Linked DNA regions of Saccharomyces cerevisiae S288C. The protein of the gene in region 3 interacts with the protein of the main gene of each other region in a pairwise test. Each region holds a gene or a part of one and is shown on either strand. Other genes may lie near its edges.

Region 1 (5,068 bases), on a different chromosome or scaffold from region 3:
ACCCCAGAAGAATCAAAGCCAATAAACTTGCAAAACGGTGAGGAAGACGAAGTGGCTTTATTTTCGCAAAAAGCAAAATTAATGACATTCAATGCTGAAACCAAATCGTACGATTCAAGAGGCGTAGGCGAAATGAAGCTTTTGAAGAAAAAGGACGATCCTTCTAAAGTGCGCCTACTTTGTAGGTCTGACGGTATGGGTAATGTATTACTAAATGCAACTGTTGTAGACTCCTTCAAATATGAGCCTTTAGCTCCCGGAAATGATAATCTCATTAAAGCTCCTACTGTTGCGGCTGATGGGAAACTTGTAACTTATATCGTCAAGTTTAAGCAGAAGGAAGAAGGCCGCTCATTTACGAAAGCTATTGAAGATGCTAAAAAAGAAATGAAATAAGAGTAAATACAGTTAACAATTTTAAATAGAATAGAACCCTCATATTTTGTAGCTCAAGGTTATAGTTGAGCAAATAAAGAATACAAAATTTATTCCAAAAAACACTACGAATCTATATTTTCCAGTTCTTTGTCTATAATAGATTTGGCAGCTTTTGAAGCCCAAGCCAATCTTCTTTCATCCCTATCAAAAGCTTTATCTCCTTTCTTTCCTGCAAGGAAATTATGGTATCTAAATTTCTTGTTAATAAACCACTTCAAACCTTTGAGAATGAATAGCATATTTTCCGATTTAACGTTCTTCGTTAAAACATCGCGCAAATAATCATCGGAGTAGATTATACGCTTATTTCCACTTTCATCCATCTTGAGTTTCTTCTCACTTTTTTTAGCTACAGTTAAAAATAACTGAAATAGCAATATCTCCATAAATAACATCCCTTCTGTGTTTAATCCACCCATAAATGGAACATGCTTGAAAACATCTAATTTCAAAATGTCATTAGCAAGCAACGATCCAAAAAATCTCCCCTGATTTGAGATGCGAAGCAGTTTTTCTTTATCATCTAAATCATCTTCTTCGTCAGTATCGCTTTCAGAATCGAATTCTTTGTCTTCAAATTTTTTTATCACATCCCAGAATAGGAATTGAAACGACTTCGATAAATGGCTATACCTTTCACATATTTTGTTCGCGACCAATGCGTAGTAATGATTATAACCATTGGATCCACTATCAGCCAAAAGACAATGTAAAACAATTCTTGGAATTTCAAGAACTTGCTTATTTTTCAAGCTTAACTTTTCAAGTTTACTAAATGCATCCAGGTAATCTTGTGCAGACATAATACTTATAAATATAGCCCTTCGAATGTCAGTATTCATACGCTGTTGTCTGGCGATAATATTCCAATCTGGAATATCATCAAGAAGATCATCCTCGATTGAAATTTTAGATTTCTTGGACTTGCTGGCATCATTTTCATTATTGATCGAAACTTCAAAAGCATTTTCCATGTTTCCTCGCCAAGAAGCACCAACCAGCCACCATTTCCCCTTGGAATCAATGTTTTTAATGTCTTCCAGAGAAACCTGTAAAGGCTCCCAAGAAGAAGAAGAATTCAAAATGCTTTGCAAGTTTTTCTTTAATGGATGATGATCAGTCGCCAAAATAGAAGGCTTTAACCTGTTGTTTTTCAAGTCAGACATGGTATCCATTAAAAATCTCAATCTTGGGCTCTGCTCTTTTAAATTCTTGGCGTTCTTCAACAGTTCTGATCGTATATCTCTCAGGGCGGATGGATCATCACCCCGGATCAGTTGTCCTGAAATCGATATAATTCGTAAAAGTAACTCAGTAGTGAATTCATTAGGATCTGCTACAAATATTCGAATAATGTCATAGATTAAGCGACACGAAACAAATCCAAAATTATAACAATACGATAGTAAGGTTGCAATATTGATGCATATTTTAGAGGAAATTTTGCTCTGCTGATCCTTTAATATATTTTCCATTTCCTCTTCGTAATGATGCAGAAATGCCTCTACCGTTTTTTGAATGAAAAAAGCACCCACCTCAATACCTCTTAGTTTTGATAATGTATACGCAAGAGCAGCATAATTCATTATAAATCCGTCCAACAACTTCTGATTTTGGCTTATAATATTCAATATCCCTTTCGTTAACGATTCTGTAACGTACTGCCTAGGCAGGGAATCATACAATCTGTTTAAATCAGTGATAATAATAGTAATATTGGAGTCTGAAAGCTTATTCAAAGAGGAGTTGACCTTCTTGCTAATTTCAGACAAAGTACTATTGTTTTCACTATCATCCAATTTCTTTCTCAGTGATGGGGGAACATAGCTCTCTACAGATTGTGTGGGAGCTACATAGGGATTTTCCTTTTCTCTTCTATAATTATCATCCGAGTCCGCAACGCTGTCGTTATCAGATTCACTAAGCCCATCTGAGTCTTCAAAATCAGAAGCTGAAAGATCATCATCCGAGGAAAATGCTTTCTCGCTTGCTTCATCATCTTTTCTCATAGAATTAGTTTCTGTGGCAAAATCTCCATACTCTTCGTCACTTTTGCCATAATTTTCAAAGTATTCCAAACCTTCAAGAAGTCCACCAATAGCATCAAATTCATCTTTTGCATGTATAGCCTTCCTTTCTCCTTTCAAGCCCAACTTTTTTGCGTAATATTGCATGTCCATCTCGTCCCTTTCAAACGCTGATCTGTCTGAAGGGGCCAGCGGATAACTCACAAAATTCTCATTTGTATCTCTGTTACGAATATGTTTCTTTTCATATGAGTTACCTTTTATTTCTCCCGAGTTTTCAGCTCCTTGTATACCCTTTGCTTTCCGTTTCAATGATTCTAGTTTTTTCATTGTTTCTTCCGCAGACATTGCCTGCTCACCGCTTTCTTCTGCTACTTCATCAGTAAGCACTTCGTCACTATCCCAGTTTTCATTACTTTCTGATTCATCTGAAGAAATCGGATTTTTACCGTTAGCCTGCTTGCCTACGTTTTTCACACCTGCATTAGCACTCCTCTTTTCGGACGTTGGTGCTGATTTTAGCCGGCTGGAATTGATTTCTCTAGTTGATATAATTTTACGTTTCTTGTCGGCCCGTTCCATCTTTCTCTTTTCTTTACGGCTTAAATGTTTGCCATTTCCTCGTCTTCTCTTTTTTCCTTCTGAAATAGAAAACCTTTCATCTTGACTGTAGTCAAGAGTCTTCAACTCGTCCAAAATAACGCCTGGAATTCTAATACCATCTGTTTTTTGCATTGCCTCAATATTCTGCAGCTGTGGACTGGCTATCTTTAGTTAAGATGAGGCTTCGTAAGTAAGTTCAGTAGTCTTGTAAGCTCATCGCATTTTTTTTTTTTTGCTGGATTTTATATTTTTCACAGCGAAAAGGACGGGAAGCTAAAAGATTAAAAAATAAATATTGCAGATACCATATGTAATTTAGTAAAATATTTTTATAAAATATTATTATTTTCTTGTTCTTCAGTGATTTATTGTAACCATGGAGAAATGCTCACGTAAATAATGTTAAGTCCAATGGCACACTACTACCCTTTCCACTTGGATACAGTTTTGTTTTATTTTGAAAGGGACGTGGCTTAGGCATTTGTGACACATTAGTCCATTTAAATCTTGAATCATCTATAACAATTCTTTCATTTCCAGATTTGGCCCCAACGATAGAATTCGATCCCCCTATCGTATACCTACCTACATCAACATCTGGTTGATTTGTATGCGTATTATGCTTGTGTTGCAGCGTCGATCCACCTGTAGAAAATAACCGTTGTTTAAGGTTTTTACTGGGGCTATTAGAGGTACCGGTATCCATCGTAGATGGACTTGGTGGTGGGGGTGGCGACTTAGTGGGGTTCTTCGAAATTGATTCAGTTTCGGTACGAACGGAAAGTGTAGGCGCAACAGGAGGAGGTGATGGTATTGATGTAGACACGGATTGCTGAGGCAGACTTGGTGCACTAAATGTTGGCAATGGCGGAGCAGCTGCAACAGGAGGAGAAGGAGGTTTTTCGAGATTCGAGGAGGGAAGAACATCGTGTAATAAAGAAGCGGCGGGGACATTATTCTTGCTATCATCTGATAAAACTGGTGGAACTGGTGGAGGTGGAACGTGTCCAGGCAGTGCAGGGGCCTTTGCTTTTTTCATCCCTAACACAGTCTCACTCTTATCATTGGTGTGGTCATCACCTGATGCAGTTGGAGTCGGTAGCGATGTTATAGGAGGAGGAGGTGCACTAGGAGGCAAAGGAGGCGCCATAGCATCCGTATGGGGGGGTGGTGCGTTAAAAGCATTCGATGATGTTTGCTTATGTAATTTGGATTCAATTTCATCCAGAAACGACATACCATTTTGGCTACTCTGTTTAGGCGGGTTTATAGATGGAGAAATAGGAGAAGGTCTTACGTTATCATCCTTAGATGAACCTATTACATCCTCTTGTTTATCTTGGGTAGTGTATCCAGTATCACCACCAACCACGAATCTATCATCTCTCTTCTTTTGGATCTCAGCAAGAAATGGTAAGGGTCCCCCAGGTGTTACGGCCGAGGAAGAACTGGATGAAGATATTTTGGATTGCTTACTGGACGCTGAGGGTTTGTTTGTCGTGAGTGTTGGAGGAGGAGGAGGAGCCGATGGTACTGACGTTGCAACCGAAGGAGGAGGAGGAGGTGGTAGTGGTGCTAAAGGAATAGATGATGCTGACAAGGCAGAGGATGTTGAAAAAGCACCAGGTGGTGGGGGAGGAGGAGGTGGTGGCGCGGGCATTGACGATGCTTTGTTAGGAGGAACTGATGTAGTATTTGGTAACGGTGGTGCTAAAGTTGGGGGAACCGGGGTTGCTTTTACGCTGTTAGTCGACGCAGAGCTCATGGCTGCTGGTAGTGGTGGTGGAGGCGGAGCTGGAGCTGAAGTTGCTTTTTTAGGTGCAGAGGTCACATTTGGTAACGATGGTGGAGGTGGTGCAGTAGGCGGTAATGGCGGAGCATGTGATGTAGGAATGGGCGGAGCAGATGATGGAAGTGGTGGTTGTGAAGGAGATTTATGATTTTCGGTTTGAATCTTTGTGGAAGAAACGCCCTCGACGGCTCCTCGTTCAGACCTCCTG
Region 2 (7,815 bases), on a different chromosome or scaffold from region 3:
AACGCTCCTGGATACATCCCTAATTTCTTTTGAGTGGTTTGTGACCATGATTTCCCTAGTAGTATCCGCAATGTCATAGAGTTCTGGAAGCATGATATGTTTTGAAACAAGTGCTTTTAGGAAATTAAAAGCAAGGCCTTGTCTGCTTGGTTCATTTAAATCTGGTAAGACCCTCCCTAGAACATAACTCAAAGCAGTATCCTTTAATGTTGAATCTGTGTGACGTATAAAGGCAGAAAGAAACTTTAAACCCATTTGGCATAATTCGCTTGAAGTTGAAGGAGAAACCTTGATAATATTTAGTACCTTCCTCGCACAGTTTTTGAAGATTTCACTAGATTCATCGGAAAAATCTAGCCTAATTAATGTAATCAGGATACGTAAAGTACTAATTACCACACCTTCATTTTCCGAAAGTAACGAATCTCTCAAAAATGGAATAAAACCCTCTAGGTGCGAGACAGTTAAAAAGGAGCGGTGTCTCGTTATTACGTTCCTAAGTAAGTCTAAAGCAAATTTTTGTAAAGTGCTGTTCAAAAGCAAACTGTTTGAGTTGATGGTATAAGATTTCGACTCCAAATTTACCAAGAAAAAGTCTTCTTTTTCATCTACTTGGTCTTTCACTTTTTTCTTTGGTATTTGAGGGGAATTACTCATTTCTGATTCCTGGAAAAGCTGATGGCAGAACTTGAGGATACTTTCTGACTCAGAGTCACTATTATGATTTAAACCCAACAAATATCGTCTCAATAATTCACTCAGTTTGTTTTGATTTCTTAGATTAATTCTGACCATCAACAAAGCCTTCACAGGAGAGAGTAATGTTCCAAATTCTGTCAGGCTGATGTTTGAGGCGAGAATTTCACCAGCATCATAGCTTTTATTACTCTTAATTTCTTTCACTTTTGTATGATAATTCTCAGAGTCTTTTTCTTCACCAGCGAACCCAAAGATATTTTCCATTATAATCTTAACAATCATACTGGACGAGGTATCCAAATCGGAGTGTTTTAAGACTCCGTGCATACTCTTTAATATGTAGTGGACAGTGTAACTTAACACATGAATTTGAGAACCACGTTTTAATGTAGCCATTAATTCCTTTATCACAAAGACAAGATACTCAGCGCCCAAGATAATACTGATTTTACCCAAGGTTACTCTTACTGCATCTCTTAATTCTTCGGATTTACTTCTCAAAACTTGGCAAATATTTGTTAGAATACTAGGGAGGAAATTAGTAATATCATCATTTGTGAGCCCTAAAACAATATTAACTAATGCCTCCGCAATAGGCATTCTTTCAATTATAGTTTCGTCATCTCTAGTGCCAAGAATTTTCGAAAGAGTCGGATACAATTCTTGCTTAATAAAATTACTGGGTTCATCTAAGTTGGAAGGAAATTTGCTCAAAGTAAGTTTCGACTCAGCCCCATCTCTTACGATACGAAGAGTTTCTCTAAGTGGAACAGAAAGTTGAACAATTAATTGTACGGCTTGCTTCATTTGGTTAGGCTTGGTTTTCAACATAGAAATGTACCTTCTAAGAAGAGCTTTGTATTGATTCCAACTCATGTGCTGCGCCAACCCTCCGATGGCTATTTGGGTCTCATTTCCAATATTTCTGTATCTTTCATCATCCGAAAAGACATAATGTTCGATCATTGGAATTAAATAATGGGATATACTGTTATCTTTGAGTTGATGAGCATGTTCACCTAGTCTTTTAATGGCTCTCTGACGACGATGAAGCTGAATATGATTAACGTTTGTAAAAAAATCTGCTTCTTCATCACCATTGTACAGTAAAATGGCCATATCTTCGAAGTCGGTGAAATATTTCGTGTTTTTTACCATATATGATAGCACTGATACATACTCACTTTGTACCTCTTCTAGGGAGTCTCTGAGGCCAATCCTTATATTGGGTAAAAGTATATCCTTCAGCATAGAAATCGATTTTGAAGCTTCATTAAGATTAGGCTTTTCGTTAATGAAGTCAATAAACTTCATTATAGCGTGGGATGCGTTTGTTCTTAACGCAAGTTCTTCCTTATTATTGATAAAATGTAAAAAGGTGAACAACAGAGGTAACCACTCTAACTCACTGTAGGACTTATAACCATCTTCAATTAACCCCTTGAAAGTTGATAAAATTCTAGGAAAATCATATTCATGCATACGTGATGAGGAGTATGAATTCAAGTCCGCAACCAATTTCGAAATACTTTCTAATTCAGGAACTTTTCTACCGAGTTCTATGAAGAGCTCTGTCAAGGAAACCCTGAGGTTTCGCTCGTCAAATGTTTTGAACAAAGAAGATATGGTAGTGTATAGTTCTTCAATATCACTCCAAGAACAATTGTAGTTGAAAACTATCAGCTTTAATATTTTCAAAATTTTTTGGGTATCATTTTCCTGCAGTTTTTTTAGCTTTCCTTTTAATATTGATATTAATGAACTAATTAAACGACTTCTAACATGATCATCTTGAATAAATCCCATCTCAGTGATACTAACTAGCAAATTCAAAAATGTGGAAATCGAGTTTGAGTCAGAAAGTTTGACATATAGCGAAGGAAGTATTTTCAGACATGATGTGCAGATGAGAGTCACCAAATCTACGTAGTGATCATCATTTACTGGATTTCTAATAATTGAGTCCGCCGCTTCAATTATTGGGCCAATAACAGCTTCCTTAACGTGTTGGTTTGATATGGTGTCCATCAATGCAGTGGCAGTTGCAAATTCATCGTAATACAAAAACTGGTACAGAGATGGATTGTGTGCCCAATAAAGGAAAAGTCTTAGTAAAGAGGAGGGTTGTTGTAAGTTTTCATCCGAAAAATGTGAAATACGAGGCTTAACTACAACGGCGTAAATATCTTCCATAGAAGTAGACCAATCAAATGTATTTCCAACAAATTCAAAGACACTACTTAAACATTTTAGACCTTGTTGCCTTAAATTACTTGCCATCTTTCTTAAATGTACCTCCTCTGTGCTCTCAGTATCTAAGACATAGTATGCCATAGCAATTGAATAGATCAACGGCTGCAGCACTGAATTAGTATGCAAAGGAAAATTTGTTCTTAATACAGACAGAGTAGAATTTACAATGTTAACGAAACCAGTCATCCGTCTGATAGTTTTCAAGGTAGCCTTTGAGCTATTTATTTGATGGCTGTTCCCAAAAAAATAATTATAATCCAGCCTTTCACTAGCCAAACTCAAAAAATCATTAATATATGGCTTCTTAAAATTTGGCAAAACTGAAATGACAGCTATTTTGCGGCTTCTTTTCTGTCCACTAGTTGGGGGGACTTGTGCTCGACCGAAGAAAATTCTAAGGACATAAGGCATGACTACCTTTTCGTCCTCAGCCTTGATAGACTGCGACCCATTTTCGGTTAAAAAAGTCGTAATCTCGTCCTTGAATAAGGTGTCATCTAGTAGATTTTTCAAATTATCTCTATATTTATTCAACGTTGGATTTTTGTATGCAAGAAGTGCGTCCAACGCAAGCTTCTGAACGTCTGTATTACGGCTACCCAACAGTACCATCAGATGATCGTGCAATTCTGTTGCACTATAAACATTCTTTATATTTTTGAACTTGCTTAAAGTCTTTAAAAACACGTTTCTATCAACTTCTGTCCATGAACCAGTAATAACACGTTCATTTTCCATATCCTCTTCATCTTTGTAAGTCTTGAAGTCATTATAAACAAAAGGTGCGATGTCGACGAAGTGATTTTCAGCAACTTGAGGAATCGATAGCATAACTTTTAGAGCCTGATTTCTAATTAAAATTGGGTAGGTGGTGTTCCCCCTTCTTTCAATAGTAGTAGATATAATGCTCGTATTTTGAGTAGAATACTTTGACCAAATATGTGAGAACGTATCAATAGTGTCCCTTAACCTCACTACACTCGAATCCCACAGAACTTTGTTTGCACCATCTTCAAGAAGAGGCTGGTAGTAATCCAAATTTTGATTTTCATCAGGAAGTTTAATGAATGATAGCACAAGTTTCCAAACGAGGGCTTCATCTTTTGTGTAAACATTAGGAAGAGTGTCAAAAACACCAGTCCAAACTGGAGAGAATCTAACGGTAAGAAGGCCAAATAAGTATTTGAGAAAGAAAGAGGATACTAGCTTGTCTGTTTTGGTTTTTCCGAATTCGGCACCAACATTCTTGATTCTAATGGTTAAATCTCTGGCATTTTGTAGTGTAAGAGGTATTTCCTCGATAACCATACATGAAGAAAGGAGGTCAGGTACTTGCATACCCTGCAAAATCATTAATGTCTTCATTAATTCTAAAGTTTCATAACGAATCTTCCCATCAGGCAACATAAAATTATCTGTCAAGCTAAGGAGTAGACTTGGATAGTGTGACATTAGTCCTTTTAAGCTTTCTGAAGGATGAAGATTACTCACTAACTTGTTCCATCCTCTTAAAAAGTTTAAACTTTCTTTATAGTTTTCGTAATTATCCAGAATAGTCTTTAATAGATTATTCCCTGAAGCGTCGTCTTCTTTACGATATATTTTTAAGAGTGTACCGACCATATCTTTCGTAAAATTATCTGGTGATGCAAAAGTTGAAAAGATACGTTCAAGCAATGGGATAATAATTTCTGTATTCTGTAATTTCGAATATTTAAAAATTATAGCTCGCCAATATATTTCGAAAAGGTCATTCGAATCATTAATTTCTGCTGTGACAAAAAAATCTCTGATAGATAAAATAAATTCTTCTGGGAAATTTACTTCCCGTACTTTCTGCAGTTCAGGCTTATCATCTACTTCTAGAAAAAAAAGTGCAATTTTTTTTCCTTGTGATTGCCAATTTTTCTTTAAAAATAACTGTAGGAATTTTAATCCATTGAATGAAAATACTCTTTCATAGCTTAGCCTTAAAGCAAATTGAAAGAATTCAAGGAAACAGTCAGATATATTTGTTAAAGCGTAGTTAAAAAGTTTTTGGTGGAATAATGTTAAAGTTTTCACGTCACTGTTACGAATAAATAAAGCAAATAGGAAAGCCACTTTATCCTGTGAAAGCGAAGCACAATTTTCACTTTGACTCATTATTCTTTCAATTAGGATAGTAATTTTATTCCAATCAGGAATTTTTCTACCACTTTCCGAGAAGACAATTGTTGTCAATACTTTTAATATTCTATCGATATTGGTGGCATCGAGAGAATCGTTAAAATCCTGATACATAACTTCATAGACTGGAAGTAAACTTTCGATTGAGGCGTACTTACTAATGTTCATCCAAATATCTGAGAGCAATGAAACAGATCTTTCCGGGGATGATTTGGTCAAAGCTTCATGCAAAAGAACGCTCATGATAGCTTTAGCTTTCGAATGCAGAGTTTCTTGCGTTGACGTCATGGATTCTGTGAATAATATCAGAAGCCCTTCGTAGAGGTTAGTTTGCTCATCATCTCCCTCTAACTTTTCAAAAACTGATCTAACAAACTCGCGCAAGTTAGAAACAGGACACTTTCTTACTAAAAAAGATAATGCTTCTGCTGAAAATCTTGAAAGATATTCCTTAGAATGAGACAATAGTGGAATTAAAAGATCACATGTGAGTACCAGTTTTTTAACCAAAAATTTCGAGAGATACTTGAAAATATAAGCCAAACAGTTGAAACCCCACTCAAAAACATTAGATGACTCAAATTCTATAGCAGCGTCTAACAGATTTATTAAAGTTTTGATAGCTTCTTCATAAAATTTAAGAAAATCTGGACCTAAATCATGACAAAATTGAGCCAAGAGGTCCAGAAGCGGTTGCAAAGAAAACTCATCGTGAAAGTTAATGAATGAAACCAAAGAATTAAAAATCTTTTTATCATGATATAGTATTTGGGGTAATGTTTGAACATCATGCTCAATTTCCGCTGCAAACTCCGTAAATTTGGCACTTAAATTAATTTCTTTCCACTGATCAAAGGAAGCGAGAAAATGCGACGACTCGACATAATCATGTACCCTTTTTTCCAAATTTCTAGCCGGTTCAATCTTCAAATCGTCAATCCTAGCCTTGAAGGAAGAATATCTATATCGCTTAGACGATTTAGTAGTTTGTCTTTGTTTAGCCATACTTTCAATGAAATATGTGTAACTGATACTAGAAATATACCAATACGGCCAACAACGTAAAACTGGATGTAAACAGGAAAGAATATGATCTTTAATTTACAACCTACACTACCTGTTTAATCGGTGGTTTTTACGCTACCAAATTTAATAATGCAACTTTTCAATGCTCATCGGTAAAAATTTTCGGAAAGACATAAACTCAAAATTTTTTCTTTACAAAAGTCCGGGTGACATTACATACATACGCCTTCAAAACACTACCTTAGAAAATGAAGCGAGAGGTACATTTCATTAGCTTTAAATGAGCCAGGAAGAAATACACTGCAGCCGATATAACTCATATAGCATACTTTTAACGGGTGATAAGTCGTTACGAAGAAGGCCAAGTTCTATGCCAATCTTTTAATAAAACATAAACGTGATGCTTTTACCACGTATTCCATTGACTTTACGTACTCTTATTACTGTCCAAAAAATAACGACAACTGCAGGACTCGAACCTGCGCGGGCAAAGCCCAAAAGATTTCTAATCTTTCGCCTTAACCACTCGGCCAAGTTGCCTCGTTTTACATGATATCATAACTTACCAGAATAAATAAACCGTCATTATGAATTATCTATAAATATCAAACATGTATGAAACTGGGAATTCTGATAAATTTTGTCATAACTGTTGGGATTCCTGAGAAATGGGGGAATGTTGAGATAATTGTTGGGATTCCATTGTTGATAAAGGCTATAATATTAGGTATACAGAATATACTAGAAGTTCTCCTCAAGGATATAGGAATCCTCAAAATGGAATCTATATTTCTACATACTAATATTACGATTATTCCTCATTCCGTTTTATATGTTTCATTATCCTATTACATTATCAATCCTTGCACTTCAGCTTCCTCTAACTTCGATGACAGCTTCTCATAACTTATGTCATCATCTTAACACCGTATATGATAATATATTGATAATATAACTATTAGTTGATAGACGATAGTGGATTTTTATTCCAACATACCACCCATAATGTAATAGATCTAATGAATCCATTTGTTTGTTAATAGTTTGAATGTTTTTATCGGAAGAGGTTTGGTCATTACGTCTGCAATATTCTTTTTGGTTTCGATATAGCATACGTGCAGATGATTTCCTGATACTTCATCTCTCAGTCTCATTGCTTTAGTACCAAAAAATCTGTTTCTAAATTTCTCTTCATTATTGGATATAATTATACTGATTGTAGATTTACTGTCGGTTAGTAATCCTTTGGTAATTGGTTTCTTGTCGAGTTCTTGTATCAGGTAACTTAGATTATTTAATAATGGGACAGATTCACTTATTGCGTGTATTTCTGCTTCCGTGGTTGAAGTACATGTTAATGAAGCCTTGGTGGACTTTCCTCCAATTACTTTTCCATTAAGTAAATATATGTTGCCAATTTGTGATTTATAATACGGTTGGTTACCATACGAGGCATCGCTTATAACAACTAATTTATTTGTTGGCTTAACAGGTTTGCTTTTGTGCCATATTAATTGCTTATCTCTCGTATTCCATATGAACTGTATCAATTCATATGTCATATCTAACACTTGCTTGGACGGAAATAGTATATGTTGTGCAAGTGTGTTGATGTAGTATAATAGGTCAAATCTAAATTTATATCCAACATATGATGCTAGACCTATC
Region 3 (3,403 bases):
GATGTTGCAACTGCATTTCAGGTCCACCAATTCCCTTTTCTGGATCGGAGAAAATCTCCTATCCTCTAAAGCAGCAATCAAGGAATATTTCTCAATACCATGTGCAATCGGCATCTTAGCAAATGTACCGATACATCCTCTAAGTATATAATTCTCTTCGTTAGTGTCTATTGTGTGATGTTTATTGGACTTTTTCTTCCAAGTTATGAACAACGAAGTTTTCTCATTGTAATCTATTTTAAAGTCGGGGTATAGCCTTCTTCTAATATCTTCTAAAGAAAGGCTGCTCGATTTCCCCGGATTCAAGTGCGAATAAAGTTGATAAAATGCGTAAAACGCAAATGGCGATGAACCTTTAGGGCCTTCCATTGATATCTTTGCAAAAAAACTGGATTTTCGAAATAGCCTTAAAGCCATTACTATCGCACAAGCCAAAAACCATCTTTTCAAAGGATCTTATCTGGATACAAATTGACGCAAATTTCTCTTTATATTCCTCCTTTGTCGCCCAGTGTCATGTGCTTATCCCTTGAAAAAAGGGCCGTTGTTCGAGCCTTGCGAGGCGTATAAAAATTTGGTAAAAATTAAAATTGACACGTAAAAGTTAAATAACATGAAGAGAAATATCTTTTCGCAGTCATTTTCAACAGTAAGCATCCACTTAACACAATTAGGAGAGACAAAATTTGACATATAATGTTATTTCTTAATATTATTAAGCTCCTTTTGGGACTTTTTATTATGAATGAAGTAAAGGCGCAAAACTTTTACGATTCCGATCCTCATATATCAGAGTTAACGCCAAAAAGCTTCGATAAAGCGATCCATAACACAAATTACACATCATTAGTGGAATTTTATGCTCCGTGGTGCGGCCATTGTAAGAAGCTCTCTAGTACGTTCCGCAAGGCAGCAAAAAGATTGGATGGTGTAGTCCAAGTTGCTGCTGTAAACTGTGACCTTAACAAGAATAAGGCTTTGTGTGCTAAATACGACGTAAACGGATTTCCCACGTTAATGGTATTTAGGCCCCCAAAAATTGACCTATCTAAGCCAATAGATAACGCCAAAAAAAGTTTCAGCGCTCATGCCAATGAAGTGTACTCAGGTGCAAGAACTCTCGCGCCTATTGTTGATTTTTCTCTTTCAAGAATAAGGTCATATGTCAAAAAGTTTGTCCGTATAGATACACTTGGCTCTTTACTTAGAAAGTCACCCAAACTTTCCGTGGTGTTGTTTTCCAAACAAGACAAAATTTCACCGGTTTATAAAAGCATTGCCCTTGATTGGTTAGGAAAGTTCGATTTTTATTCAATTTCAAACAAAAAACTCAAGCAACTAACCGATATGAACCCAACATATGAAAAAACTCCTGAGATTTTCAAATATTTGCAGAAGGTCATTCCTGAACAGCGACAGAGCGATAAAAGTAAGCTTGTCGTTTTTGATGCAGACAAAGATAAATTTTGGGAGTATGAAGGGAACTCAATCAACAAAAATGACATTTCCAAATTTCTGCGGGACACTTTTAGTATTACCCCCAATGAGGGTCCTTTTAGTAGACGTTCTGAATATATTGCTTACTTAAAAACTGGCAAGAAGCCAATTAAAAAGAACCATTCCTCCTCAGGAAACAAGCACGACGAATTGTAGTGGTACGTTTCCTCATTCAATGATTATCTAATTAAACACAACATATGTATCTATATAGTCCACTAACTGATGGCATGGACGTTTACTTTTATTTGCAATAATAACTTTTATCTGAGCGGTTAAATACCGAAAGACACGTTTATTACCCGCTTTGAAAATTTTCAACCGATGAGCTTGCCTTTCTACCGGAAAACTGGGGCATAAGAATAAGTACTAAATAGTATAATTAAATTGCCATCCAAAAATTGTATAGAGGGTCAATAAGCACTAGAAGGTTAAAAATGTCGTATTACTTTAAAAATCTGAAGCCAGACTTGAACTCCGACGTAGAAGAAGATGACGGAAACTTATTGGAGAGCATAATGGCGAACAAAAGTAAGCGAGAAATTGACGAACAAGAATCAAGTGACGATGAGTTGAAAACCTTGTCTTTTGGTTCTTTGAAGAAGGCTGAAACGGTAATAGATGAAGAAGATTTCAAAGATACGAAACCCGTTCACAAAAAACCGATCACAACTACATACAGAGAAGAAAGTTTTGATGAAGATGAGGACAGTGAGGACCAATCAGACGAGGATGCTGGATTCTTTGAAGAAGATAGTGAGGATGAAACTCATCATGGTCAGAAAGTACCAAAAAAGAAGAGCAAACACGCTCCAGTAGAACAATCATCCAAGAAAAGGGTACCACGAGTCCGAAATATCCCTGGGCTGGAAATACCGAGGAATAAAAGGTCTAACCTCTATCAGGACATCAGATTTGATAAGTCCACCGGTAAAGCCCTTGATAGTTCTATCATAAGAAAACGTTACCAGTTCTTGGACGAATATAGAGAAAAAGAAATTGATGAACTGCAGAAGCTGTTACAAGAAAGAAAATTTCTATCAAAAATAGACCAGGGAGAACGTGAAGAAATGGAACAAAGACTGAAAAGTATGAAATCGAGATTGCAATCAATGAAAAACAAAGATCTCGAGCGTGAAATTCTCAAGGAATACGAAAATGATATGAATAAAAACAATAATACGAGATACCATTTGAAAAAGTCTGAGAAACGTAAAGTGGTGCAAAAGTGGAAATTTGATCACATGAAGGCCAAGCAACGTGAAAAGGTCATGGAAAGGAAAAGGAAGAAGAGATTGGGTAAAGAGTTTAAACAATTTGAATTTCATAATCGTAGGTAGAGTATTTAAGCAAAAGAATGCACATTAAAGTAATATATAGAGAAAGATAAAAAAATAAACGCACACATAAACTAATGGAAGTAAGAGGTTATCCGCGAACCACAAGGAGAAAATCGAATGAATCGGAGAGGTGACAACAAAAAATTTGAAATACACAAAAGGTTGTCTATATACAGGATATATCGATTATACTTGTTTCTTTTTGGCTTATTTTTTGGGCTTAACGTCAGCACCACCTTTAGCTAACCACTCAGTAATAGAACCAGGATAGATACCAGTGTTTTCGTACCCATAAGATCGAGCCAACTCTTCGGCAGTTTTGGCTCTTACTCCTTTCGCACAAAGAAAAATCAATTCTTTATCGTGAGGTGGTTTAGCAAATTGGAAAACTTTGTGAAACTCCTTTTCGGGCAATCCAAGAGCGCCAGGGGCACTATTCACCGGAATATTTATTGTAGTTGGCATCTTGTAATCCTTTACTTCCTTGGGTTCCCTTACATCTACCAATAGTTTTTTATCATTGGGGTGTTCGACTAGGTTCCTGACCTGGTCAAAAGTATAGATCT

Evidence for each region.
Region 1: the proteins of RRP36 (region 3) and SGD1 interact in a two-hybrid assay, tested with the Saccharomyces cerevisiae proteins (2 studies listed by BioGRID).
Region 2: the proteins of RRP36 (region 3) and UTP20 interact in a two-hybrid assay, tested with the Saccharomyces cerevisiae proteins (one study listed by BioGRID).

Annotation. Positions count from the first base shown.
Region 1 is NC_001144.5:799,197-804,264, forward strand, and holds SGD1 (Sgd1p), read right to left. Parts: upstream 3,201-5,068; coding exon 501-3,200; downstream 1-500. Other genes in the region: nucleoporin NUP2, read left to right, coding at 1-396; VRP1 (Vrp1p), read right to left, coding at 3,457-5,068. UniProt on the Saccharomyces cerevisiae protein: Involved in osmoregulatory glycerol response, probably through its interaction with PLC1 which regulates the expression of GDP1.
Region 2 is NC_001134.8:225,947-233,761, reverse strand, and holds the start of UTP20 (Utp20p), read right to left. Parts: upstream 6,127-7,815; coding exon 1-6,126. UniProt on the Saccharomyces cerevisiae protein: Involved in nucleolar processing of pre-18S ribosomal RNA and ribosome assembly.
Region 3 is NC_001147.6:850,371-853,773, reverse strand, and holds RRP36 (rRNA-processing protein RRP36), read left to right. Parts: upstream 1-1,934; coding exon 1,935-2,837; downstream 2,838-3,403. Other genes in the region: YOR289W (uncharacterized protein), read right to left, coding at 1-417; protein disulfide isomerase MPD1, read left to right, coding at 697-1,653; thiosulfate sulfurtransferase RDL2, read right to left, coding at 3,045-3,403.